7 linked regions of the Ovis aries genome follow. The protein of the gene in region 1 purifies or fractionates together with the protein of each later gene. This does not show direct contact. Links are inferred from orthologs where the notes say so. Each region holds a gene or a part of one and is shown in the gene's direction. Other genes may lie near its edges. The genes, in order: RPA2, PRPF19, ATRIP, ZUP1, CDK7, HLTF and PARP1.

Region 1 (3,500 bases):
TTTGAGGTGAATTTGAAGGTATTACTGCTGCCCACTTAGAGAATGTTGCTGCTGCTGCTGCTAAATCTCTTCAGTCGTGTCTGACTCAGTGCGACCCCATAGACGGCAGCCCACCAGGCTCCCCCGTCCTTGGGATTCTCCAGGCAAGAACACGAGTGGGTTGCCATTTCCTTCTCCAGTGCATGAAAGTAAAAAGTGAAAGTGCAGTTGCTCGGTTGTGTCTGACCCTCAGCGACCCCAGGGACTGCAGCCTTCCAGGCTCCTCCGTCCATGGGATTTTCCAGGCAAGAGTACTGGAGTGGGGTGCCATTGCCTTCTCCGGAAGGTATTACTAACACCTCAGTAATTACACATATATAATGTTTTTACCTGAGGAATAATAATTTTTATTGAATACATAGGACGATATATAGAGATTGATATTAGCAGTTTTATATAGAGTATACGTTTTGTTTACAGCTCCACAGGTTGATATCCTCATTTTACAGAATGGGTGGCAGTGTGTCCAGGGCTGTGGAGTGGGGGTTTGAACACAGGTTTATAGGACTGTCTGGCTCCAAAGCCATGTTCTTGCTGCTCTTACCATAGTGGCTCTTAGTTTTCTTCTGCTGAAGATACGGTGAAAATCTCAAGTGTGATAGGTGAAAATAGAACCTCAACAGATTTTAAATGTATAAATATTAATATAGCATATAAGTTCGTTTACCAATACCATAAAATTGGAAAACATAGTTGGTTCCTTTACATCCTTATTAAAAGCTACTGTAGATAGAAAGAGTGAGGAACAATAATAACTGGCCTAATAATTGCTGATATTTCTTGAGTGTTTATAGTGTGCCAGATAGTCTAGGTACTTCACCATATATTTACTTCCCATTTGATTTTTAGTGATTTTATCATTCCTTGTTTTGTAGATGAGGAAACAGAGGTAAACAGATGAGTAGAGAAATGTGATCAAGGGCACGCTACTCCTGAGTGGTGGAGCTATAATCTTTACCCTCAAGCTTGGCTGCCACCTGTGTGACATATGTGCTGGTAGTTGGCTGGGCTTACTTTCTACTATCCTGGCAGTATTCACCATTCAAAATTATGCTTCAGTAAAGTGAAATATTGCTAGTATCATGGACCTTCAGAGATAAGCTTTGACTTTTAAATCAGTTTTACATATAGAACAGTTACTGGGTTTACATCTTATTGATTTCCAACAGGAAGAACCCTCATCTTTAATGCACCATGCTTTTTCTGTCTTGTACATAGTCCTTCCTAAGAGTCTATGAAAGTGCATATTTGCTCTCAGTCTATAATGCATGTTCCTTACCCACTGTTTTTTCACCATCAAAATTTTTGTGCTTCAAGGTCCACCCTAAATGCTCCCTCTTGTTGAAATTTCCAGTAAATTTTTCTGAGATTCCACATAGAGTTTCTCATTCTGTAGTGTACAAAAATCAAGATTGTTGCTTACATTTGTACCTCCCCTAAGTTAGGAGTATGTTGAGGGCAAATCCTATTCCATTGTACTCATCTTTGTCCTCTGACCAGAGGTAGGCAAAATAAGAATTTACACTGTTGTTAGGTTGCTTTTGGATGTGAGTTGGGTGTCTGTCCTCTTCTGCCCATTGCCTCTTGTCCCTTTCCTTTAGGATGTCCAGTGTGACCAAGCCTTTATCCCATTTCCCCCATACTCGTGTTTGATTGTCAGAACATCTATCCTAAAGCTATATGTCTAAATTTCTGTTGTCATTTATCATGAGACTTAGAACAACTCCAGAGTTCTCTCTCTGCTGACCATTTCTCAGACCCCTTCCAATACCCATCTCATCAGTGATGAAAATCCAGCTCCATCTTGCCTTCATCCTAAAGGTGGAGTTTCTTCTTAAAAGTCTGTTCCAGAAGCAGGTCCTTATGCTGTCCACAATCTGGCCTACTCATTTTGGTGATCTCTAGTGCAGCACAGACTTATCCATTCTTCAGGAACTTTGGAGTCAGACAAACCTGGGTTTGAAATCTAAAGTATGGCATTTGTTAACTATATAATCTTGGTTTTCACCTGTATGAAGTAGAGATAGGATCATATTGAAGATTCAGTGTTACATGTATAGTGCTTGGCACATAGCAGGTGCTAAATGAACAGTGGTTAATTATTTTCTTGATTGAATTTATGAATACTTTTTTCAGAGAGCTCGAGCTCAGCACATTGTACCCTGTACCATATCACAGCTGCTTTCTGCTACTCTGGTTGATGAAGTATTCAGAATTGGAAACGTTGAGATTTCACAGGTATGGAAGAGTGCAAGAGTCACTTAACATGAAGAATGAAATAAAACTAACATCATTTAAAAATATATAAATGTTACTTTGGTTTTCAAGAAAACTAAACTTTTTTCCCTTCTGGTCTAGGTCACTATTGTGGGGATTATCAGAAATGCAGAGAAGGCTGCAACCAACATTGTTTACAAGATAGATGACATGACAGCTGCACCCATGGATGTTCGCCAGTGGGTTGACACAGATGTAAGTAGTTGTTTTGGAATCAGGGTGGGGTTACTTGGGGACTTTGGAGATGTCGAACTTGTTTAGTTTTACTTTTTAAAGGTGGGTCTTATAAAAATAAAACATAAGCAAGACGTCAAACACAGAAACTCTAACATGAAAGGCCAGTACATTTATTTTCATAAAAATTTAAAATCTTTGAAACTTCCCCAAATACTATAAACAAAGTTAAAGGGCAAGTAACAGGACACACTAGAATGTACTTTGTGAGTACAAAGATTTTTTATGTTGGCATTGTATCCCCAGCACCTAGAATAATGCCAGTTACATAGTGGGCCCTGAGTAAATATTATTCAAATGAGTGGGGAAATTTTTTGTAACATATTACAAACATTTTGAATTTTTAATTAATGAAAGTTCTTACAAAGGAAAAAACAACTGCACCTTAGGAAAACAAGAAATGCACAAGTAATTCATAATAGGTGAAATACAAATTGCAACAACAATAAGAAAAGCAGGTTTACTAAATACCATTTTTAACTTACTAAATCAACAACAACAAAAAAGAATGGCAACGTCTACTTCTATTGAGAGCAGGAGGCACTTAATTTGGGGAATGGTTTGTCAGTGTTTGTCTGGGAAAGCGGATACCATCCTACCTTGATGTTATGAGTATAATCTTTCTCAAAAATCAGCCGATAATCAAGATCCCATCACAGAAATGTTGATCTAGCAGTCCACTGCTGGAAATTTACATTAAGGAGATCAAGATGTGTGCAAAGATTCAGTTGTAAAATTGTCGATCATCACATTATTTATCATAATGGAAAACTAAAAGGAATCCCCATGTTAGCAATAGGATATTATTCATTAAACCATGGTATATTTTTAAAATACTGCAAATGATGTAGAAATACATGTATTGTCACAAAGAAGTGTTTACCATAAATGTTGAGAGAAAAGAGGTTATTAAAGATAGTATGCGTGATGTGGCCCCATTTTTGCAAAGC
Region 2 (4,094 bases), on another chromosome or scaffold:
CTGCCAAGGGGCAACTAAGTCTGCGCTCTGCAACTAGGGAAGCCACTGTAATGAGAGTCCACACACCATAACAAAGAGTAACCCCTGCTTACTGCAACTAGAGAAAGCCCTCTCACATCAGTGAAGACCCAGCGCAACCAAAAATAAATAATAAGTTCTTCGAAATAAATTATTATAGCTATCCCAGAGGGACTCAGAGGAAAATTACAGGGTGCTGTGGGGACTAAAATTCAGTCAGGGGTCAAGAAAAGAGACTCCAGAGGAAGTGCTATTTAGGGTGAGATTGGATTTACTTTGGAAAGGATGGGAGGGGTGGGGAGAAGGGCAGGGATTGAGGAAAGTGTTCCAGGTGAAGGATCTGGAACCAGAGTGGATAAGTTTGAGGGCTTGAAAGGCCAGTGTGTCCAAGAAGCAGATGACTTGCCCAAAATCACAGAGCAAATTGGTAGTAGGGGCAAGACCAGAAGAGTTTCTTAGCCAGTGTTAGCTTCTCTACCCATGTGTATCTTCGTCTTCACTGGGTCTTCCAAAGCTAATCCTCTGAGAAACACTTGCCAGAGAAACACATGGGGCACGAACTGAAAATGCAGACTCTCTAAATGAGACCCCAGAAAAATGCATTTTTAAAAGTTCCTTAAGAAATTCTTACAGAAACTAACATAACATTGTAAAACAATTATCCTCCAATTAAAAATAAATTAAAAATTTGAAAATAGAATAAAAAATTATGGAGTACTCAAAAATAGACATAAAATATGCAAAACCACTATGGACAATAATATAAAACTATACTGAAAAAATATTACAGAAGACCGCTTCCCTGGTGGCTCAGACGGTAAAGTGTCTGCCTGCAGACAGGGAGCCCCGGGTTCGATCCCTCGGTTGGGAAGATACCCTGGAGAAGGAAATGGCAACCCACTCCAGTACTCTTGCATGGAAAATTGGGTGGACTGAGGAGCCTGATAGACTACAGTCCATGGGGTTGCAAAGAGTCGGACACGACTGAGCGACTTCACTTCACTTCAAGTAAATCAAAGTATACCATGCTCACGAAATAAAAGACTAATAGCATTAAAAATAAAAAAAAATTCTCATATACTCCAATATTTGCAAGACAGTCGTTCCACCGCCCCTGGCTCAAGAGTGCAGCTAAATTGATTGGCTTTAAGGTCCCAGTGCATTAAGGGAAATGTAGTTTCGAATCTCCTCTCCCAGCCATTGGAGCTTTACGAAACTAGCCGAGAGGGCCCGGAAATAGCCGAGTATTTCCTGGCGCGCCCTTTCCTGCCTGATTGCATTATGGGAAAGGACAGTTTCCGTTAAATTCTGGAGGCTGAGGCGCGCGACTGGCCACAGTCCCACGTGAAGCCATTCGCAAGCATCGCTCCGCGGGGCAGCTCCCCGCTCGCAGCGGAGCGTCTGGAAGCAGCGAGGGAACTGGAAGTGTCCCGCGGGGGCCCAGTAGCTGATCCCGGAGTCCAGTGTGAGGAGCCTCGGAGTGCAGCGAGGGCGCCATGTCTCTGATCTGCTCTAGTGAGTATCGGCTGCGGCCGCTCGCGGGGCGCTGGAGGCCGGAGAGCTGAGCGTGAGGATCTGCGCGCCTCTGCGGCGCCGGGGTCGGGGCTGGACCTGAAAAACGGGGCTCCGGGGAGGCAGGGCGGCGGCCTGTCAGCCCGGGGGGGTCTTCCTCCTCCAGCGTGAGGTCAGTTTGCGCAGCGCTTCATAGTTTACATAACGTCTCCGGTGCATTCTCGCAGGCTGCACAGAGGCAGCCCATCTCGTTTGCGCAGTGGATATGAGGCTTGGATAGCGGGGAGCTGGTGGTGCAGGGGAAAGAGCTCTCTGTAGGAAGCAGGAAGCCAGAGGGCTTGTGCAGGATCCGCCTCCAGCTGGCTTTGTGATCTGGCTCCGGGATGCGGTCCTCAGTTTCCCCAACTGCAAAAATAATGGCCTTGGCACTGGATGTGTTGTCTGAGGCCCCGCTTGGGTAGGCAGCGCTTCTGCAGTTTGCGAAGATCGCACAGTGAGTTGGAGGCGGTGACAGGCCTGGGAGCCAGACCAGCCTCACCCTGTAGGGCTGATGAAAACAGCTGCACATTTGGAAAAGCCTCTGTTGGTTTACAGCGTGCTTGCAAAACTGCAGAGTCGTTCTGTCCCCACAGCAATTCTCCAAAGCAGAAATAAAGATCCGGTTTTACAGATAAGGATGTAAGGTTCAAGGAGAAATGTGGCTTTTGTAAAACAGTACAGCTAGTTAGTGGCAGAGCTGTGTGACGAAGCCAGTTTCTCTGATCCTGAATCCATGCTTTTTTCAAATGCTTTGTCCTGTCTTTTGGATATGTTATTGAGGAGAGTGGTTGTTCATCAGGTTATTAGTTTCTCATTCTTTTCTCTCTCGGCTTCCTAACTCTCGAGCTCTTGACTCTTCTCAGAACCTCCCCATAAATCCAAAATAAAGGAGAGAAAGAGTGAAGGGAAATGTGACTAGAAAAAGAGTCCTTAAGCGTTAAAGAAATGACAGTGTGCAGAGTATTTTCACATTCATTGTTTCAGTCCTGAGGAAGGTCTTTTCAGTATCCATCAGCTGGTCTGTTAGATGTTTCCTGAGCATTTGCCAAGCACCTGCATTGTACTGGAAGTCAGAGAGCAGCTACAGTCCCAATCCTCAGGGATGTAAATGGATACTTCTGTTGGGGAGTGGTGAGGATGATTTCATCAATGGAAAGTGTTTACAGTGGAGCTTGGCGCCTAGTAAACACCATGTAAATACTTTGTTATCATAGCACTTGTCACATCGGTTTGTAATGTGTCCGAGAATCCATCTAGGTCCTAGTCTGAGACTTGAATGGCTTTGTGTGTATCTTCTTGTCCTGCTATATAATGGGTGCCTAAGCGTTTTTGTTCAGAAATGAGATGGGCAGGAATTATTGACTGCTCCCTAGGTGCCTAGCATTTAGTAGTTGTGCAGCAATTATTTGTTGACTACCTAACTGTCAGAGACTGATGGAGAAGCTAGTTAAGTGGCTGGAAAGCATTGTGGGTACAGTCCAAAACTGGCTTGGTGTCATGTCTTGATTCCTGTTAGCTGAGTGTAGGGAGCAAGGTCTTGTGGAGGCCAGCCGAAGGTGAAGCGTCCCCTTGGCCCAGGGTCCCTGTCACCACCCCAGGCTCACCACCTGCCTTTTCTCCGCAGTCTCCAATGAAGTGCCAGAACACCCCTGTGTGTCCCCCGTCTCTAATCATGTGTATGAGCGGCGGCTCATTGAGAAGTATATTGCAGAGAATGGCACAGATCCCATCAACAACCAGCCTCTGTCCGAGGAGCAGCTCATTGATATCAAAGGTGCCTGCTGGCCAGCCCCAGTCCAGGCTGTCCTAGCCTAAAGCCTGGGAAGGTGGGAAGGGTGGCGGGTGCATAGCATGTGGGAGCCAGGGGAGGAAACGGTGGTCTGTTAGTGCTGAAGGGGAAAGAAAGAATGTGGGAGGGCCAGCATGCCCTAGGTCATGGGTTTTCACACCCACTTTGTCTCTCTTGGCAGTTGCTCACCCAATCCGGCCCAAGCCTCCCTCAGCCACCAGCATCCCAGCCATTCTGAAAGCCTTGCAGGATGAGTGGGTGAGTCCCCGAAGAGAATTTATATTTTCGCGACTTGAAAAGAAGGGATCACTGGACTAGGACATGGGTGGGGATGGGAGGGATGGAGCCTTATTTTCTGTTTTGAGGGGAGGGTGAGAGCAGAGAAGCCTGGTTCTTAATGTCACACAGATCTGGGCTCCACCCTTTGCTCCGTTGCCCACTTGCCACGTCCCTTGGCAAGTATCCAAGTGCTACTTTTCCTGACCATATTGCATGGATTAGTACCTGTCTCAGGGTTTACAGAGACTCAGAGTAAAATTAGAGTATGAGCTTCATGGTGTCAGGGACTTGTTTTACTCATTAGAGCCCCAGCAGTGAGAACCAGGTTCACAGCAGGTGCTCTAAATATGAATGAGTCAAAGACTGCATCTTGAGGACTGCCTGGCTCAGTGCCTGACGCAATGAGAGCAGTCAATAAACAGCAGCTGTAGTGTTTTTATTCCTTTCTGGTGAGGTG
Region 3 (4,190 bases), on another chromosome or scaffold:
CAGCTGGCACCCTTCCCTGTGCTGCTGAGAATAACCCTTCAGAGAGCCAGAGCTAGCATACTGCCCCTGAGATGAAGCTACTGCTGTTTTATTTGATGGAACCCAGTCTGCACTTACGAAGTATAATCTTGTGTTTTTACGAGACCAGAAACTTGGAGCAATTAAGATAAGCATCCAATATTTGTGTGACTATCTGAGGGAACCTACCAGTTACCTCAAAAAATTAAAGCCAGGTACTGAAGACCCTCTAGGGCCTAACAACTATCTCCCTTTCATTCACTGCCCTCCCAAATATTCATAGGATACTCATAGGCTAAGTTAGAATTCCACGGGCAGAAGAGCCTAATGAGCTACAGTCCATGGGACTGCAAAGAGACACAATTGAGCGACACATGAATGAAAAGTCTTGCCCATTACTTTCCAACACCTTGTTCCTGCTAAATGTCCTGCACACCACCGTGCCGTGCTTAGTCACCCAGTTGTGTCTGGCATTTTGTAACCCATGGACTGCAGCCTGTCAGCTACTCAAGCCCAGCTTGAATCCCTGCTCCTCTCTAAAACCTTACCTTCCTAATTTGCCATTGATAACGCCTACCTGGCACTTGTGTGGCCTCCATTTCAGTGTTGTATTCTTGTCTGAGTAATCTTGATGCCATCCTCTTTAATACCTCTTGATAACTCCACTTAACCTGTAGGACAGCACAGTTGCTACTTCCATAGGACCTTCCTTGACTTCTTGAGTCTCATTCATTTCCATATTACCAGCACTTGGAACAAAGACACTTAAGAGCTCCCAGAGAAATGAATAAATATTAACAGCCTAAGGACTTCCTACACCCTTCAACACAAACACACCCTTCTCAGACTTTCACCAAATGTACACATTCAAAACATTTACTGTACTCGAAGATGAGTGCTCATAACAGCTCTATTCCTAACTCCTAGCCCAACCCCATTCTTCCACACTCCTCCTCAAAAGAGCCTGGGGTATTTGAGAAGTGGGTCTGGCTGGACAGCGAGGTCACAAAAACCAAAAGTCTGAATGCCATAGATTCACATTGCACGGCTGAATATCTATCTGGGCGACCTCCAGCAAGCGCTGCTCTGTACCCCAGGGCATGTCAGGGAGCGGAGACACAGCTACTTGCGTGGTGGAGCTGGTGAATTTGCCTAGGTAACTCAGTTCGCTGCGCTTACACCACCGCAGTGGCCTACCGAATCCTAACAATCGGTACCAGAGCGCCAGGCGAGGTTGGGCCCAACAAGGGCGGGAAGCAACAGGGTTCAGCGGGCACTCAATGGAGCATCGCGGCGCGCTCTGATGATGTCATTCCTCCGCGCCCGCCAACTGGCAGGTGATTGGCTCGTTGGTTCGGGGGCGTGTCCCGGCGGCTGAGGCGAGCCACGGCGCGCGGGCGGTTGGTCCATCCCTCCTTCCACGCGGGTATAGGCCGGGCTCAGTGTCTTTAGAGATCAGCCGGAGGCAGGCATGGCTGGAATCTCCGCTTCAGGCAGCAGGAGGCGAAGTGGGCCCCCGGCACCTAGTCCTGGCCCTCCGCCCAGCACCGGGCACCCTCCGAGCAAGCGGGCCCGAGGCATCCCCGCCGCCCCGGACCCCGAAGACCCATTCGGCCTGCATGGGGATTTCACCGCCGACGACCTGGAGGAACTCGACACGCTTGCGTCCCAGGCCCTGAGCCAGTGCCCGACCACGGCTCGGGACGTGTCCAGTGAGTTCGCCTTTTCCCCTTGAGAGTGGTGCAGACTTCCCTAGCCCCCCCCCCCCCCCAGATGGCTGTGCCTTCGCAACCCCGCAGTGACCGTTCCGGTGTCTTGCACCCACACTGCCCCTTCCTAGGAACAGTTTGATTTAAGCAGCTGTGTGTCCCAAGAGGTCTTTTGATTTGAGGGGAGAAATGTATCAGGAATGTCAAACAGCCGATTTGGAATGTAGGAAGCTAGGTTAACATTTTACTTGGGTTTCTATACTTTGGACCACTGGGTTCTTAGTTCTCAGCAGAGATCTTTGCAACACATCTATCACAGCCATAAGAAGCATCTTTACCTACACATGGGGACCCATGGTTATGACATATTTGGGAGGCTTTGGATCGAATGAAGACCACCTTTTCCTTTGGACCGCCTGAGCACAAGAGGGATCTGGCAGAGGCAAGAGATAGGATAGACTTATTCTTTTTATACAACCAATTAATTGTACTACGTCCCCAAACCTTAGAAGCTACAGACACTTAGCAACAAACAAAAGCCCCCACCTTCTTGGAGCTTACACTCATTCTAGTGACGTCTTATGGGGTTCCCTGGAAGAGAAAGGTTTTGAGGGTACCTTGAATCTCTACTTGGATGTCTTGTAGGCAAGTTAAATTCCACACAGTCATTTCCTGGAAATCCAGTCATCTGCCAGCATCTCCAGCATGATGCCTGGCAAAGCAGACATTCAGAAAAGACATGTTGATGAACACATGTTCTGCATGGTGAAGACTGGCACCAGTTTCCATCCCATACCACAAGCCAACATCCCCATTGCCCCTTTCCAAATCCTGTACCTTTACCTTTTTCTTCCATCCCAAGAATCCATCCTCTGCATCATCTCTGCCATCTCCCTGATCTGTGTTACCATCACCCCTCCCCTGGACAAAAGTCCACTAAATTGTGTACATATTTCAGGTTATGACTCCTACAAGTCAGACTTCACACCACAGCCAGAGTGATCATTTTAAAACTAAAATCTCTGTGACACAGAGATGCACAGTGAACATCCCTACTGAAAGCCTTGAATGACTTCACACTTCCGGTATAAAGATTAAAATCATTAACATGGCCCGGAAGACCCAGCGTGGCCTGACCCTTTCCCTCTTGGGTTTCTAGCCACACTGACCTTCCTTCATTCCTTGAATTCTCCCTGCTTCCCTACAATACAGAAACTGCACACGCTGTGTCTTTTTTTTTTTTTTTTTGCTGCACTGCATGTGGGATTTAGTTCCCAAGGATCAAACCCACCCTCCCTGCAGTGCAAGTGTGAAGTTTTAACCACTGGACCACCAGGGAAGTCCCTATTGCTGTTTCTTACACGTTGAGTGTTCTTTCCATCCATTCCCCATCGCCACTGCTCTGGTTAATTCCTGCTTGTTCTTCAGCTCTCCATTCAGTTATCACTTATCTAGGGAAGGCTTCTGGAGAAGGCAGTGGCACCCCACTCCAGTATTCTTTTGCTTGGAAAACCCCATGGACAGAGGAGCCTGGTGGGCTGCAGTCCATGGGCTTGCTAAGAGTCGGACACGACTGAGCGACTTCACTTTCACTTTTCACTTTCATGCATTGGAGAAGGAAATGGCAACCCACTCCAGTGTTCTTGCCTGGAGAATTCCAGGGACAGGGGAGCCTGGTGGGCTACCATCTATGGGGTCGCACAGAGTCGAACATGACTGAAGCGACTTAGCAGCCGGGAAGGCTTCCAGTCGTCCTTGTGGATGAAATCCCCTGTTACAGGCATTGCTCTGTTTGTTCTTCTCTGCAGCTATTATAACAGTCGTAATTTTACGTTTATTCTTATATTTTTGATTGCCATGTAAGCTCCATGAGTGTAAGGACTGTATCCATTTCTCTCATCACTGTAGCTTTCTTTAGAGGCTAAATTGTGCCTGACATATTGTAGATGCTAAGTAAATACTGTTGAATAATGGATCACTGAGCTTCGAACAGTGAGGTTCCCACAGCACCTTTCAGCCCTTAGCTGAGACCCTTAAAACTGGATGCAGGGAAAAAAACAAGAAACTGAGTGTGGAATGGGGAGAGGGTGGCAGAATTTGTTATTTCATAAGGATTGAATCATGTTCTTATGTTGGAAAATACCTATTCTCCTTACTAGATCTTTCTCTCATTTGCTTTCAAAAGTGATTGTTTTCAGCACTGGCTGTTAAAAGTGGGAAAATACTGAGCCTTAACAAGTATATGGGAACTGATTTTTCTTGATTGTTGTTTTTTACAGATGTTCATAAGTTCACCAGATTAGATGGGATGTCAAAATATCCTGCAGGAAAAAACAGAGAAAGTGTTCCAGTTAAAGATAATTTTGAATTAGAGGTACTTCAGGCACAATACAAAGAACTTAAAGAAAAGGTAAGGGATTTAACTTGTCATTTTTGTAGTTAATGCATTCACTTATGCATGTG
Region 4 (3,500 bases), on another chromosome or scaffold:
CTAAACCGGGTCTCAGGCAGATTCTTTACCACTGAGCCACCAGGGAGACCCAAGCTTTGTATGGGTACATGAGTTATTTTCTGTAACCTCCATAGGCTTACACATAGGCTATGTGTACTCCATAGGCTGGAGTCTGAGGTGAATCTGAGTGAATCACTGTAGATAGCCTCATAAGTATGCTAAAAATCAGTTTTGGATTGTGTATTTCCGCCAGTAAAAGTGGGGACCAATTAGGAAGAGGTATCAGAGGCTGAGCGATTTGAAGGGAAAGAAAGAATATTCAGATACATAATTAAACCATCAAATTGAGAGGTCTAGGAGATGCTAGCCAGAGGGCACTGAATAATAGATGTGTAGGACACTGGATAGAGAGCAAAATGGGCAAGTTATACTATTTGCTTGAGGTCAGACATTAGGTTATGATCTAATATCTGTACTTTGCTCACTTGTTTTTTTATTCTCTTAATTATTTCCATCCTCCCCTCCTCCCCACCAAGTATTTCTCTTAAAAACTAATCTGCCTTATATGTATTAATGAGGGGCACCACTTCAGGGTGCTACTTAATTTCTCTCAAGTTCCGGTTTCTTCAACAGGTAATAATATTTCCTAACTGTTATGAAGATACAAATGAGATATTTAATGAGAATTAATGAGACGTGTTTGTCACAGCCTAAACACTCAGTGAATATTAGTGATTTAAGTGAAGGTTGTACCCTTACAGAGGCAGTTCAAGTTCTGCTGGATTTATACTCAGTATTTCTGTGACATCATAGTCATGAATAAACGGCAAAATAATAGCCTTTACTCCATTTAAAAAATATGTACTAACATATAATTGAGCCTTGATTTCAATCTTTTATTCTAAATATTAAAAATATATGATAGGTGTGAATAGAGTCCAGTGTTCTAGAGATCTAGAGTTGGCTCAACAGCTTCAACAAGAAGAAGACAGAAAGAGGAGATCTCAAGAATCAAGACAAGAAATGGAAGAATTTCAGAAGCTGCAGGTACAACGATTAATAATAATTATATTATTTTGGTTCAGTTAGAGTTCTTATTTTTCAAACATGCTGTTAAAACTTTAGTTTATTATTTTTGTCTTTATTATAATACAAAATATTTTTTACGTGTATTTTTTATAGTTCATAACAACCACCATTCATTTACATACTGGAGCAAACACTTCTTATAAAGTGGCAGTCCCCAACATTTTTGGCACCAGGGACCAAGACAGTTTTTTCATGGACCTGGAGTGGCAGGGAGAATGGTTTCAGGTTGATTCAAGTGCATTATGTTTATTATGCTGCTGCTGGTCTGACAAAAGTTTCAGACAGTAATGCAAGTGATGGGGAGCGGCTGTAAAAACAGATGAAACTTTGCTCACTCACCTACTGTTTATCTCCGGCTGTGCGGCCTGGTTCCTAACAGGTCATGAACTGGTACCCGTCTGTGGCCCTGGAGTTGGGGACCCTGATGTAAAGTATCTTACAGTCTTCCATACTCCATGAAGTTATTTTAGATGTTTTTTTTTTTTGAACAGCAGAGGAAGAAATGGAAACAAAGAGTGCTTTATGTAGCTTAACTTGTTCAGGATTGGGCAGTATGAAATGGTGAAGCCTACTTTTAAACCTATGTTACTGGAGAAAACTAAGAAATTGAGACTCAGAATTTTAAATGTTTGCAAAAATACTTAAAATAGAAACTTAGAATTAATGTCTTCTGAGTCTTAAATTCTTTTAGTGACTGAAGTTCAAGAATTTAGAAAGAACCACTTTTAATGGCAAATGCTTTTTTATGAAGTTTGAGCCTATCTTAGGTGAATGGTAGTATCTACTGAACTAAACTGGTAGCTTTTATATTTTAACAGCTTTTACGACTCTTTTCAGTCCTAACTTGCTGTGGACTACGTAGTCATTTGCTAATAATGCTCATAGATTTTAAATGTTCTTTTTCTATGTGCTTATAGGATAATGTCTGAATAAAAAGGGTTTATGAATGGTTTGAAAATGTTCAATTAAACAGGTTTGTGTACCTGATGTCTTCTTAAAGCCTTTAATATACTAATATGCATTGTACATATCATAATCTTCCTGAACTTGTTTGACCTCTAACTTTTTTCCCTCTGATTTCTTGCACATGGCTATTCTTTCTTTAGAATATCTAATTTAGGCTATTTTTCTCATCCATGGTTCATCTATTTGCATAATTATTTTCCCACCAAGATTCAGAGGAGAAAAAAGTTGACTTTTCCTATATCTTCTCTACCTTATATTATCAATACAACAGTTTTCAATGTTTAGGAGAGTATAAGTTGATTATGTAACTTTGCAGGTTAGTTGTTTAGATCTCAGAAATATTTTTGTAGGGGCTGTTTTAACATATTATTTTAGGTTTTCTGTCAGTGTGCAAAAACATAGTTCATTTACTGCATAGAATAAATACCTGAGTGAATTGTTGATTAAATAGGCCTTTCTAGGCTAGCCTAGGAACCAGGTAACAAGTACAGGTTCCTTGACAGGTTGTCTTGAAAAAAATCAGCAATATGGTCAGAACTCATCTGCTTTTCACATTACTATTAACAGGAAGATTGGATTCTCTACTTTCCCTACTTCAAGGAAAACAAGTCTCTTGCCATGATGGTTGTTTATAGAGAAAGGCTGTTATTAATTAACTCAAGGATTTTTTTGTGTGCGTGATTATTTTTCATAAAAATCTGTAAGTTGACTCATATAGAAGTCTATAAACCAGAATGTTTCAAAATATATTTCCAGATGTATAAAATAGTGGTAAATTTTTCACCTCATTGATATAAAGGGACATAAAAATTAAGTCATTTGTTTTTATGTTCAATAGAGACAATATGGTTTAGATAATTCTGGAGGGTACAAACAACAGCAGCTACGAAATATGGAGATAGAAGTAAATAGGGGAAGAATGCATCCATCTGAATTTCATAGAAGAAAAGCTGATATGATGGAATCACTAGCTATTGGTGTTGATGATGGAAAAACAAAAACATCTGGTGAGTATTTAAACATCCAAATCATGGTTTTAATATTGCATACATCACTGAAGTAATAGGATTATTTGAATTGTGCTTGATTTTCACAACCCACAGTTTATATAGTTTTAGGTGAGACCAGGTGTTCAAATAATTTTTTTGTGTGTTGTTTTAAAACTCCTGACCTTTTATTTTTATAGTAAATGATTCACTTTTATCTTGTATCAATTTACTTGACATTTGAAAACAGACCTTTGAGAATAGTTTTTATTGAAAGCTTACTATTTTCCAGACAATTGCTGTCTAGTAGAATGTAAGTGAGCCACATAAATAATTTTAAATTTCCAATAGTCACATTAGAAAAATAAAGACTAGGTAAAATTAATTTTAATATTTTTCCAGTATATCCAAAATATATTTCAGTGTGTAATCAGTATTAAAAATTATCAGTGCAGTATTTTGCAATCTTTGTACAGTCTTTAAAATGCAGTGTGTATT
Region 5 (3,500 bases), on another chromosome or scaffold:
TTTTGTTGAAATCTAGATGTGATGTTAAAGATCTTCTGAATCATTTAGCCATATTCCCAGTGTTACATACAAGATTTGGATTTAGATAGCATTTGTGTCTGCCAAGTTCCCGATACCTTATTAACATTACTTTTTAGAAAAATAAGTGTTTGGCTTTGGAGGGTTTGGAACTTCCCTTGTGATATTATCACAGACTGTCCTTTTGAAAACCAGCTTTCTTTTTGAGAAGAATAAGATTTTAGGGACTTCCCTGGCAGTCCAGTGGTTAAAACTTCACCTTCTAATGCAAGGGGTGTATGTTCGATCCCTGGCCAGGGAGCTAAGATCCCACATGCCTTGCAACCAAAAAACCAAAACATAAAACAGAAACAGTATTGTAACATATTCAATGAAGCCTTTACAAATGATGCACATCAAAAAAATCTTTAAAAAAAAAGAATAAGATTTTAGGCTTTTCATTAATACTAATTGAATCTCAATAATGGACAGTCTGGAGATGTGGAACAAGTGGAATTCTTATACACTGCTGATGAGAATGCAAAGATACAGCCACTTTAGAAAAAACAGTTTGGCAGTTTCTCACACAGTTAAATATACCCTTAGGGTATGATCTAGAAATCCGTCGGTGTATTTATTTATCCAAGAGAAACAAAAACATGTCCACACAGATGTTTAGCTTTCTTCGTAATTATCCAAACTGAAAACAACCCAAATGTCTTTCATCAAGTGAATGTATAAACTGGTACATTTTTTATAAAGTGGAATACTATTTGAGAATAAGAAGAAACAAACTATTAATATATACAGTAGTATAGGTGACTCTTAAATACGTTGTACTAAAGGAAAGAAGCCAGGCTCAAAAGCTACTGATGCTGTATGATTCTATGTATGGTTTTTTTTGGAAAAGGAAAAACTAAAGGAACAGAAATCAGATCTTTGGTTGCTGGGGTTAGGAATTGAAGGGAAGATTGAGTAGAGAGAGGCATTGGGGAATTTAGGGGGAACTGTTAAACTATTTTTGGTTGTGGTAACACAACTGATGTGTTAAAAACTGAGATTAAAAGTGTCTTTCACCTATTTGAAAAAAAGAAAGTTGCATTTTTAGCTCATATAACTAAAAGTCTGGGAATAAACTGACTTGAATCATAGTTCACAAATAATGCTAGCAGAACACAATTTTTCACTTGTTCTCTGTTGCCTCGTTCATGGGTAAAATTTCTCAATATAGTGGCTCAGGTGCTTGTAGGCTTCTATCCTTAGTTTAATAATGCCTGAGGAGAGAAAGTATTCTGTTGCCTTTGATTCTAGCTCAAGTATTTGGCTTGGCTTGGCTCACATTTCCATCCCTGAGCTAGTCTTGAAGGCAGGCTGTAGTGTGGTGACGGAGCATGCCTGGATCACATGTCTGCTACCTTTGGAGGCCACAGGTTGTGCACAACGTATAACCACGTGGACTAAGCTGGGAACACGTGGTTTCCGAAAGGAATGTTGAATGCTGTTATCAGGAGGGGCTGTATATCCTGAGGCAAGTGGAAACGGCAGATGTTTGCTACATGGATGCCTAAAAACATAGCGGTAGGGGACAGAGTACTGCTTTCCTCTTAAACTCGAGAGACTTTGCCTGACCATGTAACTGGGGGTTCTGACAGAGCCTCCTGAGGAGAGCTAGGCAACCTCTCTTGAGAACCTCCGTTACGAATAAACCCAGCTTGTGTCTATAAATGATATGATAGAGTTTATGTGGAATGATAAAAGCGTACCTGTATCCTGTCTGCCTACCTTACAGGTTATAATAAAGGATAACAGTCTTGTGCTGACACCTTCACACATCAAAGCCTATATGTTGATGACTCTTCAAGGATTAGAATATTTACATCAACATTGGATTCTGCATAGGGTAAGGTTTTTAACCAAGTATGATTGCGTCTTTATGTTGTAGTCAGACTTTCTGTAGCCAGCTTATTACACAAAAGGCCTGAGTATGTAAATTATTAAAGTAGAACTGGACTGTTTTATCCACCCTTCTTCCTCTCTGCGCTCCCTTCAGTTAAACCAGGTGGCACTGTGAGAACTCTGTGTTACTAGGTGGAATTTAGAAATGCAACAGGCCTATTCCTTCATTTTTTTCATACTTAGAAGAGTTAAGTTGCTGACCTAAAAGTTACATATTTTTTTTGAGGTCAGTAGCTATAGTGACTGACAAAGAGTATTAGAACCTAGATATTTTGGCTTGAAGTTACGTGTTCTTTGTGCTATACTGTTATAATAAAAAACAACAAGGAGTCTGGATTAAATTATGCAATGCAAAAATACTTCTGGAAAAATACTTCGGGTAGCTCTGAAACTCTGGGAAGTAATCAAGTAAAATTTCTGAAATGGCTGAGTCATTGTTAGGAACATTCAGCTACTAGAACAAGGCTGATGATTTAGGTAGGTGGATGTTCCTAGGTATCCTATTTATTAGTAAAGTAGCTAAAAATATGTAATAGTAATCCTCATACTTAAGCTTGGAATTCCTTTTAGGTTATGGCTAATATCTTTTTAGCATTGATTGTGAAGACTATATTCTTCATCCTTTATAAACACATAATGTTTTTTACTTACTAAAGTTCATATATTGTGGTGTTTATTGTTTTGGGCCTCACGGCTTGTGGGATCTTAGTTCCCCAACCAGGGATTGAACTGGGGCCCTCAACAGTGACAGGGTCCTGACCACTGAACCACCAGGGAGTTCCCTGTATATATTGTTATTGAATTAATAGCAGCAGCTGTTTTTTTTAATGCTTACTAGGAACCAGTCATTACTCTAGGCTTTTCACAGGAAATATTAAATTTAATCCTCACAGCGAACCTGTGAAGTATGTAAATTGAAATTCATTGAAAGGAAGTACCTTAACCCAAGGCCTCACTAAGAAATATGGCTAATCTTATTTTGATTTTTAGGATTTTACATCAATGAAAAAAATTTTGGTGGTGGTTAAATTTGGAGTCTTACCCTGTTTCTGCTAAGTTTAAATTTAACTAAATGTATTACTATGATGCTCTCCTTCACCCCGCTTATTTGTTGGTTTAAAATCTCCATTGTATAGGACCTAAAACCAAACAACTTGTTGCTAGATGAAAATGGAGTTCTAAAACTGGCTGATTTTGGTCTGGCCAAATCATTTGGGAGCCCCAGTAGAGCTTATACACATCAGGTTGTAACCAGGTAAGGATTCCTTAACTAACTAAAGCTTGTATTGTGTAGGATATTAATCACAAATGAGCCTCATGTGGCTTCTTTGAATTTTGGCTGAGTTCAGGAGTTATTGTTGGTATCTTATTAAACAGTGAAAAACTATACAGCCCTTCTTTTATATGGAGTTGAATTAAATCAGTCCGCAGAGATTTATCTAGTAATTTGGGGGGACTAATTTATACTTCTTACACAGTTTAGTTAGGTAGGTTGGAACTATAGTGGCTGTTCTTTTCCGTAACCACCTGATTTGTGGAGCCTGTGT
Region 6 (3,500 bases), on another chromosome or scaffold:
TCAGATTCTGGAGAACTTAGGCTTAGGAACCAGCCTGCCTGGATTCAAATTCTAAGCTCTGCTACTTATTAACTTTATGACCTTGGACAAGTTACTTAACTTTCCTGTGCTTTAGTGTCTTCATCTGCAAAATGGAGATAATGATAAGACCTACCAGTAGGGTTGTGACAGTTTTGAAAGTCAGTCTGTATAAGGTACTTAGAACAATGTTTGGTATGTAATAAGCATTCAGGAGATTATCTGTTTTTGAAGTTATGTTGGGAATTTTATATAATGTGTATCTGTTAGTTTTGATTATACCTTTTATATATCAAGGATTTTTTTAACTTTCCAATTAATGTAAATTAGGAAAATACTGCAAAAGAATTATTTTAAAATATATTCTGTAATATTTCTGTAGAAATATGAGTCTAAGAAAATGTACATTTCTTATGTGTGGTGTTATTCAGCAAGCATTAAAAAAATGAATGGAAATCCCAGATAAAGTACAGTGAAATCTATCATATATTTATTATTTATAACATATCTGTTTATTTTTATTAGGTTAATAATAATGAAATGGTTGCATTACAACGAGAGCCGAATAACCCCTATGATAAGAATGCAATTAAAGTAAACAATGTGAATGGAAATCAGGTTGGTCATATAAAGAAAGATCTTGCAGCTGCCTTGGCCTATATCATGGACAACAAATTGGCACAAATTGAAGGGTAATGCACTTCTGGAGTTTAGTTTCAATAATTGTGAATTGTGGTGATCTTGAATTTAAGGATATGTATAGTTGCTCTGACAACTTCTGTGACTATACCTTTAGTATATGTTCAGTAAATGTTTTAATTTTATCATCTGCCTGCACTACCCTAACCATCAGATAGCTATTCCCTCACTTTCCTGGTAAATTATTACCATGGAGAAAAAGAGACTTTGGTTCAAATATTAAAAAGTCCATACAATCTTTTAGGAAAAAAAGCCTTTTTGTTGTTGTTCAGTCACTCAGTCATGTCTGACTCTTTGCGACCCCATGGACTGCAGCACGCCAGCCTTCCCTGTCCTTTACCACCTCCCAGTGCTTGCTCAAACTCATGTCCATTGAGTCGGTGATGCCATCCAACCATCTCATCCTCTGTTGTTCCCTTTTCCTCCTGGCTTCTATCTTTCCCAGCATCGGGATCTTTTCCAATGAGTGGGCTCTTCGCATCAGTTGGCCAAAGTATTGGAGCTTCAGCTTTGGCATGAGTTCATCCAGTGTGAATATTCAGGGTTGATTTTCTTTACGATTGACTGGTTTGATCTTCTTGCTCTCCAAGGGACTCTATAGTATCTTCTCCAACACCACAGTGCAAAAGCATCAGTTCTTCAGCACTCAGCCTTCTTTTTGGTCCAACTTTCACATCTATATGTGACTATTGGAAAAACCCATAGCTTTAACTAGATGGACCTTTGTCCACCATGATTTTAGTTTTTTGAATGTTGAGTTTTAAGCTAGCTTTTTCACTCTCTTTCACTTTCATCAAGAGGCTCTTTTGTTTCTCTTTGCTTTCTGCCATAAGGATGGTATCATCTGCATGTGTAAGGTTATTCATAGTTCTCCTAGCAGTCTTGATTCCAGCTTGTGCTTCATCCAGCCTGGCATTTTGCATGATGTACTCTGCATATAAGTTAAATAAGCAGGGTGACAATATACAGCCTTGACGTACTCCTTTCCCAGTTTGGAACCAGTCGGTGGTTTCATGTCCGATTCTGAGTGTTGGTTCTTGACCTTGTGTACATATTTCTTAGGAGGCAGGTAAGGTGGTCTGGTATTCCCATCTCTTAAAGAATTTTCCAGTTTGTTGTGATCCACACAGGCTTTAGCATAGTCAATGAAGCAAATGTTTTTCTAGAATTCTCTTGCTTTTTCTATGATCCAGTGGATGTTGGCAATTTGATCTCTGGTTCCTCTGCCTTTTCTAAATCGAGCTTGTACATCCAGAAGTTTTCGGTTCACGTACTATTGAAGCTTAGCTTGGAGCATTTTGAGCATGACCTTGCTAGTGTGTGAAATGAGTTTAATTGTGCAGTAGTTTGAACATTATTTGGCATTGCCTATTTTTGGGATTGGAATGAAAACTGACCTTTTCCAGTCCTGTGGCCACTGCTGAGTTTTCCAAATTTGCTGGCATATTGAGTGCAGCACTTTCACAGCATCATCTTTTAGTCTTTGAAATAGCTCAGCTGGAATTCTATCATTTCTACTGGCTTGGTTCGTAGTGATGCTTCCTAAGGCCCACCTGACTGGCCACAATGTCTTGCTCTAGGTGAGTGATCGCACCATCGTGGTTGTCTGGGTTTATCTTCTTTGTTATCTTTGGTGGTTATCTTCTTTGTATAGTTCTTTTGTGTATTCTTGCCACCTCTTCTTAATATCTTCTGCTTCTGTTAGGTCCATACCAATTCTGTTCTTTATTGTGCCCATCTTTGCATGAAATGTTCCCTTGGTATCTCTAATTTTTTTGAGGAGAAAAAAAGGCCTTTTAGTGTATTGATTTTAGAAGTTTGGGAATGTTTGTTTAAATCTGGTTGTAAGCTGATAGTCTGTGATCAGTTCCAGATGAGTTTGATTTTGCCTGCAGTGTTTAAATTTTTTCGGTTATTTCCAGTATTAAAATATGTGGATGTTCTGCATTTTATGCATATTATTTTTTCCCTAATTATAAAACATTATTTACAAAGTTTTCTCTTGATAAATGGAAGATCTGGTAATACAGGATACTGATTTCCACTTGACATCATTTGACTGGAGCTAGGTAGCAGCTGTTGCATTAATTAGGCATATCCCTTCTTAGTTTTACCACCTGTTCCTTTTTTAAAACTCAGTCTCCTTGGTTGTGTTTTGTATGCGTTTATGTTTGTGATCTAAATTTTAGTGTAGATTGTTTAGAATATTTAAAGGTGAGTTTGGAAGATAAATACTTAGCAGTGTCTTCTCACTTATTTACTTGTTTTCTCCTTTTTCAGTTCATTTCCTTTCTCAGGCTTTTCAGATGTTGAGAGTAAACTTTCAATAAATCCTGAATCAGAAATAATTCTTTGAAATCATTCCCCATTTTCTCAGATTGGGTTGCTACACTCAGTGGTTCTGTTAGTGAAAGCTCTACCTTCTCAAGTAAACTTACTATTTTACTTATCTTACAACCTTGGTAATAGGTTATCTTATGTATTTAAACACTTCTATCTCAGTTTCTTCTGGCATTCTGATCCTAAAAACTGCCCTTACCTTCTCATTATTGGTCCTCCTCCATGTTCTTTTTCTTGCTAGTCTGCCCAGTTAGATACTTTTTGTTGTTGTTCAGTTGCTCATTCATGTCCGACTCTTTGCAACCCCATGGACTGTAGTACTCTAGGCTTCTCGGTCCTCCACAATCTCTTTCTGTTTTACTTCCAAGTAAAATTTGCACGTGACAGATATTTAACATGATTCTTAATGGGACTTAAAATTAAATGTAAAAAATAACTCTATT
Region 7 (3,500 bases), on another chromosome or scaffold:
ATAAAGGATAGAAGCCACACAGTTATCCTAAGGAACACAGAAAAAGCATTAAATAAAATCCATGCCCTTTCATGAATAAATCTATTCCATGAAGTGTGAGGTGAAGCTTGTAAGAACAGTGTGAGCATTTTCAAAGACTGTCACAAAGGAGCAGTCTTTGAAGTTGCTCCCTAAACTCAGGGAGGAGGAGTTCATAGAGGTTGCTTATCTGAAGGTCACGTGACTCGCTTTATCATCAAGATAGAATTATAGTGACTACACTGGGTCATAGTTTTTAGTCCTAAATTATTTCCTGATAATTTCCCATTATTTTTATTTGTAGCTTAATCGTCTCCCTTTATATTACCAGGCAACCTTCCAGTGTCTCTTCACTGATCCTGTTGAGGCCATTTGTTTTGACAAAATTCTTACGTTGTTTCTATATGAAAACCTGTTGCTTTTATAATGAGGGGTGATACACATTTATTATGCAGAGGGAAAGAGATTTATTACAGTGGTACAGGTTTTAACTCAAATCTTTGAGGTCTAACATGTCTCAAAGGGGGATTTGAAGAATTTATAAACTGTAAGTTCTCTAGTTTATAGAGTGTCATGAACTTTACCATTAAAAACAGAAATTAACTCTTGTGTAATGTTGGGGTAGAGAACTTGGACTTGAGTGTTAGACATGCTTGGTCTAACTCAGCAGTGCTCCCTACTGAGTTTATTTTTTGCATTTCAAAAAGATGTACAGTTGAACAACACAAGTTTGAATTACATGGGTCCCCTTACATGTGGAATTTTTTCATTGTAAATCCTGCAGTTCCATACGATCCGTGGTTGGTTAAATCCATGGATGTGCTGAGGATAGAGAGAAACCATGTAAATTGTATGCACATTTTCAACTGCAAGGAAGGGTAGCTAGCACCTGAGTTGTACAAAGGTACAAAAAAGTTAAGCTTAAGATATACGTCTGTATATTCTTCTTTTCAGTTGACAGGTGCTTTTTGCCATCACAGCCCTGGAGTCTTTCCTTACCCACTGTGTCACCAACCACCCACGTTTTGCCTTAATGTTCTAGGAGTATTTCCCCGTGTCCTCTAGAGCGGTGCTGTCCAACAGAGAGATGCAGCCACTTATGCAATTTTAAATATTCTAGTGGCTACATTTTATGAAGTAAGAACAGTGAAATTAATACTATTTAACCCAGTATGTCCAAAATATTATCATTTTGATATGTTGATATCAAAATATCTTTCCTTTTTTTTTTTAACTCAGTCTTTGATAGCTGATGTTTTTCTACCTCTTAAAACATATCTCAATTCAGAATGACCACATGTCAGAACCAGGGGCTACTCTGTTAAATGGTACTGAACTAGAGCATCATTTCTTAAATCTGTATAGAATTCCATCCTCTGGTAGTAGTAATAGTGTTAGTTGCTGAGTCATGTCCTACACTTTGTGACCCCATGGACCCCACCAGGCTCCTCTGTCCGTGGGATTCTCCGGGCAAGAATACTGGAGTGGGTTGCCATGCCCTCCTCCAGGGGATCTTCCCGACACAAGGATCAAAACCCAGGTCTTTGGGTGGCTGTAGTTTGTAATTTACCAAACAACACTCTCCCATCCCCCAGTTAGATATTTAGATTATTTCTAGGTATTTGCTATAATGATGCTGATGTACATATCTATATGCCTTTTTGCTTACTATCTATCCTTAGAGTTCCTGGTTACAGTATATGCATATAAATAAGGCTTTTTAACGTAGTAGTAGTTTGCCTTCCAGTAAACTAGAAGATAAGAATGCGTGTAAAGACGTGTGTTTCAGCATTGAGAGTAGATCTGCTGTGCCACTGACAGCAGTAGCCCTGAGACTAGCACACGGGTTCTTCTCTGCAGCTTCATTAAGCCAAGCAGATTCCAGGAGCAAAGCCCAGCACCAGTTCCCCTCATTCAGGCAGGGTCTTCGCTCAGCCTGGGATCCCCAGCTGGCAGGAGTTAAAGTCCTGTGTTGTTAGAATATTAGGAAGAGCAATCCCAGGGAGCAGGGGTGAGGGGTAGGGATGGTGCTCATATGTGCTTTAACGCTGTCAAGCTGCCTGGCAGGAAGTGGGACTGGTTGCTTGATCCTTTGGCACTATAGAGAAGGCTGTGTGAATTCAGTCTTGGGTGAGGCAGTGTAAGAGAAGAAAGGAGGCAGAATTTGTCCATCAGTCCAGTGTGCCTTGGGTCCAAGGTTTGCCCTTGTAGGTGCCAGCACTTCCATGTTGGGCATGAATGGGCACTGGGCACCAGCAACCCCAGCATGGGAGGGAGTGTGGGTGCCTGCAGGTCTGCCTGTGCAGAACTTGATGCTTCGGCGGTGTCTGGAATAAGAATCGGGAGCAGCCAAGAGGATCTGGGGTGCACAGGCAGTCTCATCCTGTCCGTACTCAACATGTTTCTCCTGACATCTAATGCCAAACCTTTTACATGCTGCCTTTTTTTTTTTTTTTTAAGCCTTTTTTGCCATTGGCACGCCATCCTATATCCTTTCTCTGCCAGATGACACTACCACAACTTTGCTTGGGTTGTTTAATTGAGTCTCTTCCTGATTTTCCCTACAGGATGAAGAGGCAGTGAAGAAGTTGACAGTAAACCCTGGCACCAAGTCCAAGCTCCCCAAGCCAGTGCAGAACCTCATTAAGATGATCTTCGATGTAGAAAGTATGAAGAAAGCCATGGTGGAGTATGAGGTTATTGCACTTTTGTTACGTTCGTGAGCATTTGCTGGGGTGGGTGATTGGAGTGCTGAGTTGGCAACGAGTTCAGTGGCTGGTCTTCAGCCTGAGGCATACAGGAGCGCTGAGGCCTGGGGTACCTACACTTTCACAGAGAATCATTGGCCTGTTGTGAAATAGATGGTATGTTGTCCCCATTGCACTTTTTCCCTTGAAGTTGCCATAAAGGCATGTGGAGCGTGGTTCTTTTGTGGCTCAACCAAATAGGCCGCTCAGAGTTGTCATGGAAGTCCAAGATGGAGCCCATTTACAGTGAAAGAACTGTTAGGACCAGCAGTGAGCTGACACTTGCTTCATCCCATAAAATGCATACCAGCCAATCATAGGGGTGGGCTGGGGGAGGGGAGTGATGAGTGAATCAGTCATATTTCTATACAAGAAAAAGTGGCAGGGACCACCAGCCAGGGTCAGGTGCTCTGTGTCCCCTGGGAGATGCATGTTCTTGCTGCCTTGAAGCTTGGAGCCGCTTTGAAAAAGAAGCAGGGACCAGCAGAGTGCAAGAGTTGCAGATTAGCCTTGACCATTCCTCCTCTTCACCAGCTTGCTTCCTCTCTGCTTCTTCCAGCCAGCCTTAGAGAAGGCAAGACAAATCTGGGTTGTAGAGACCACTAGCAGCTACTCTTCCTCAGCCCTGCATCTCCCTGTCTTAAGCCCAGCCTGGCAGGACGGCTCGGGCTCTGCTGTTGTTACAGTGCTGGGTCATGTCTTAGACAACCCCTAACAGGTGTGAAGATAGCTAGG

What was found.
Region 2: the proteins of RPA2 (region 1) and PRPF19 purify together in Homo sapiens (affinity purification with western blotting; 4 studies listed by BioGRID, with this or other methods). This does not show direct contact. The link is inferred for Ovis aries from reciprocal best matches to the Homo sapiens genes RPA2 and PRPF19.
Region 3: the proteins of RPA2 (region 1) and ATRIP purify together in Homo sapiens (affinity purification with western blotting; 5 studies listed by BioGRID, with this or other methods). This does not show direct contact. The link is inferred for Ovis aries from reciprocal best matches to the Homo sapiens genes RPA2 and ATRIP.
Region 4: the proteins of RPA2 (region 1) and ZUP1 purify together in Homo sapiens (affinity purification with western blotting; 3 studies listed by BioGRID, with this or other methods). This does not show direct contact. The link is inferred for Ovis aries from reciprocal best matches to the Homo sapiens genes RPA2 and ZUP1.
Region 5: the proteins of RPA2 (region 1) and CDK7 purify together in Homo sapiens (affinity purification with mass spectrometry; 3 studies listed by BioGRID and IntAct, with this or other methods). This does not show direct contact. The link is inferred for Ovis aries from reciprocal best matches to the Homo sapiens genes RPA2 and CDK7.
Region 6: the proteins of RPA2 (region 1) and HLTF purify together in Homo sapiens (affinity purification with mass spectrometry, with the first as the bait; 3 studies listed by BioGRID). This does not show direct contact. The link is inferred for Ovis aries from reciprocal best matches to the Homo sapiens genes RPA2 and HLTF.
Region 7: the proteins of RPA2 (region 1) and PARP1 purify together in Homo sapiens (affinity purification with mass spectrometry; 3 studies listed by BioGRID and IntAct, counting the BioPlex papers as one, with this or other methods). This does not show direct contact. The link is inferred for Ovis aries from reciprocal best matches to the Homo sapiens genes RPA2 and PARP1.

Annotation. Positions count from the first base shown.
Region 1 is NC_056055.1:239,185,104-239,188,603, forward strand, and holds part of RPA2 (replication protein A 32 kDa subunit), read left to right. Parts: intron 1-2,175; coding exon 2,176-2,277; intron 2,278-2,397; coding exon 2,398-2,511; intron 2,512-3,500. UniProt on the Homo sapiens protein: As part of the heterotrimeric replication protein A complex (RPA/RP-A), binds and stabilizes single-stranded DNA intermediates that form during DNA replication or upon DNA stress.
Region 2 is NC_056074.1:34,605,910-34,610,003, reverse strand, and holds the start of PRPF19 (pre-mRNA-processing factor 19), read left to right. Parts: upstream 1-1,294; 5' UTR 1,295-1,514; coding exon 1,515-1,533; intron 1,534-3,193; coding exon 3,194-3,343; intron 3,344-3,539; coding exon 3,540-3,616; intron 3,617-4,094. UniProt on the Homo sapiens protein: Ubiquitin-protein ligase which is a core component of several complexes mainly involved pre-mRNA splicing and DNA repair. Required for pre-mRNA splicing as component of the spliceosome.
Region 3 is NC_056072.1:51,443,797-51,447,986, reverse strand, and holds the start of ATRIP (ATR-interacting protein), read left to right. Parts: upstream 1-1,390; 5' UTR 1,391-1,489; coding exon 1,490-1,730; intron 1,731-4,006; coding exon 4,007-4,137; intron 4,138-4,190. UniProt on the Homo sapiens protein: Required for checkpoint signaling after DNA damage. Required for ATR expression, possibly by stabilizing the protein.
Region 4 is NC_056061.1:21,159,939-21,163,438, forward strand, and holds part of ZUP1 (zinc finger-containing ubiquitin peptidase 1), read left to right. Parts: intron 1-886; coding exon 887-1,008; intron 1,009-2,854; coding exon 2,855-3,023; intron 3,024-3,500. UniProt on the Homo sapiens protein: Deubiquitinase with endodeubiquitinase activity that specifically interacts with and cleaves 'Lys-63'-linked long polyubiquitin chains. Shows only weak activity against 'Lys-11' and 'Lys-48'-linked chains.
Region 5 is NC_056069.1:10,557,760-10,561,259, reverse strand, and holds part of CDK7 (cyclin-dependent kinase 7), read left to right. Parts: intron 1-1,786; coding exon 1,787-1,897; intron 1,898-3,089; coding exon 3,090-3,208; intron 3,209-3,500. UniProt on the Homo sapiens protein: Serine/threonine kinase involved in cell cycle control and in RNA polymerase II-mediated RNA transcription. Cyclin-dependent kinases (CDKs) are activated by the binding to a cyclin and mediate the progression through the cell cycle.
Region 6 is NC_056054.1:239,824,516-239,828,015, forward strand, and holds part of HLTF (helicase-like transcription factor), read left to right. Parts: intron 1-543; coding exon 544-710; intron 711-3,500. UniProt on the Homo sapiens protein: Has both helicase and E3 ubiquitin ligase activities. Possesses intrinsic ATP-dependent nucleosome-remodeling activity; This activity may be required for transcriptional activation or repression of specific target promoters.
Region 7 is NC_056065.1:28,669,106-28,672,605, reverse strand, and holds part of PARP1 (poly [ADP-ribose] polymerase 1), read left to right. Parts: intron 1-2,585; coding exon 2,586-2,714; intron 2,715-3,500. UniProt on the Homo sapiens protein: Poly-ADP-ribosyltransferase that mediates poly-ADP-ribosylation of proteins and plays a key role in DNA repair.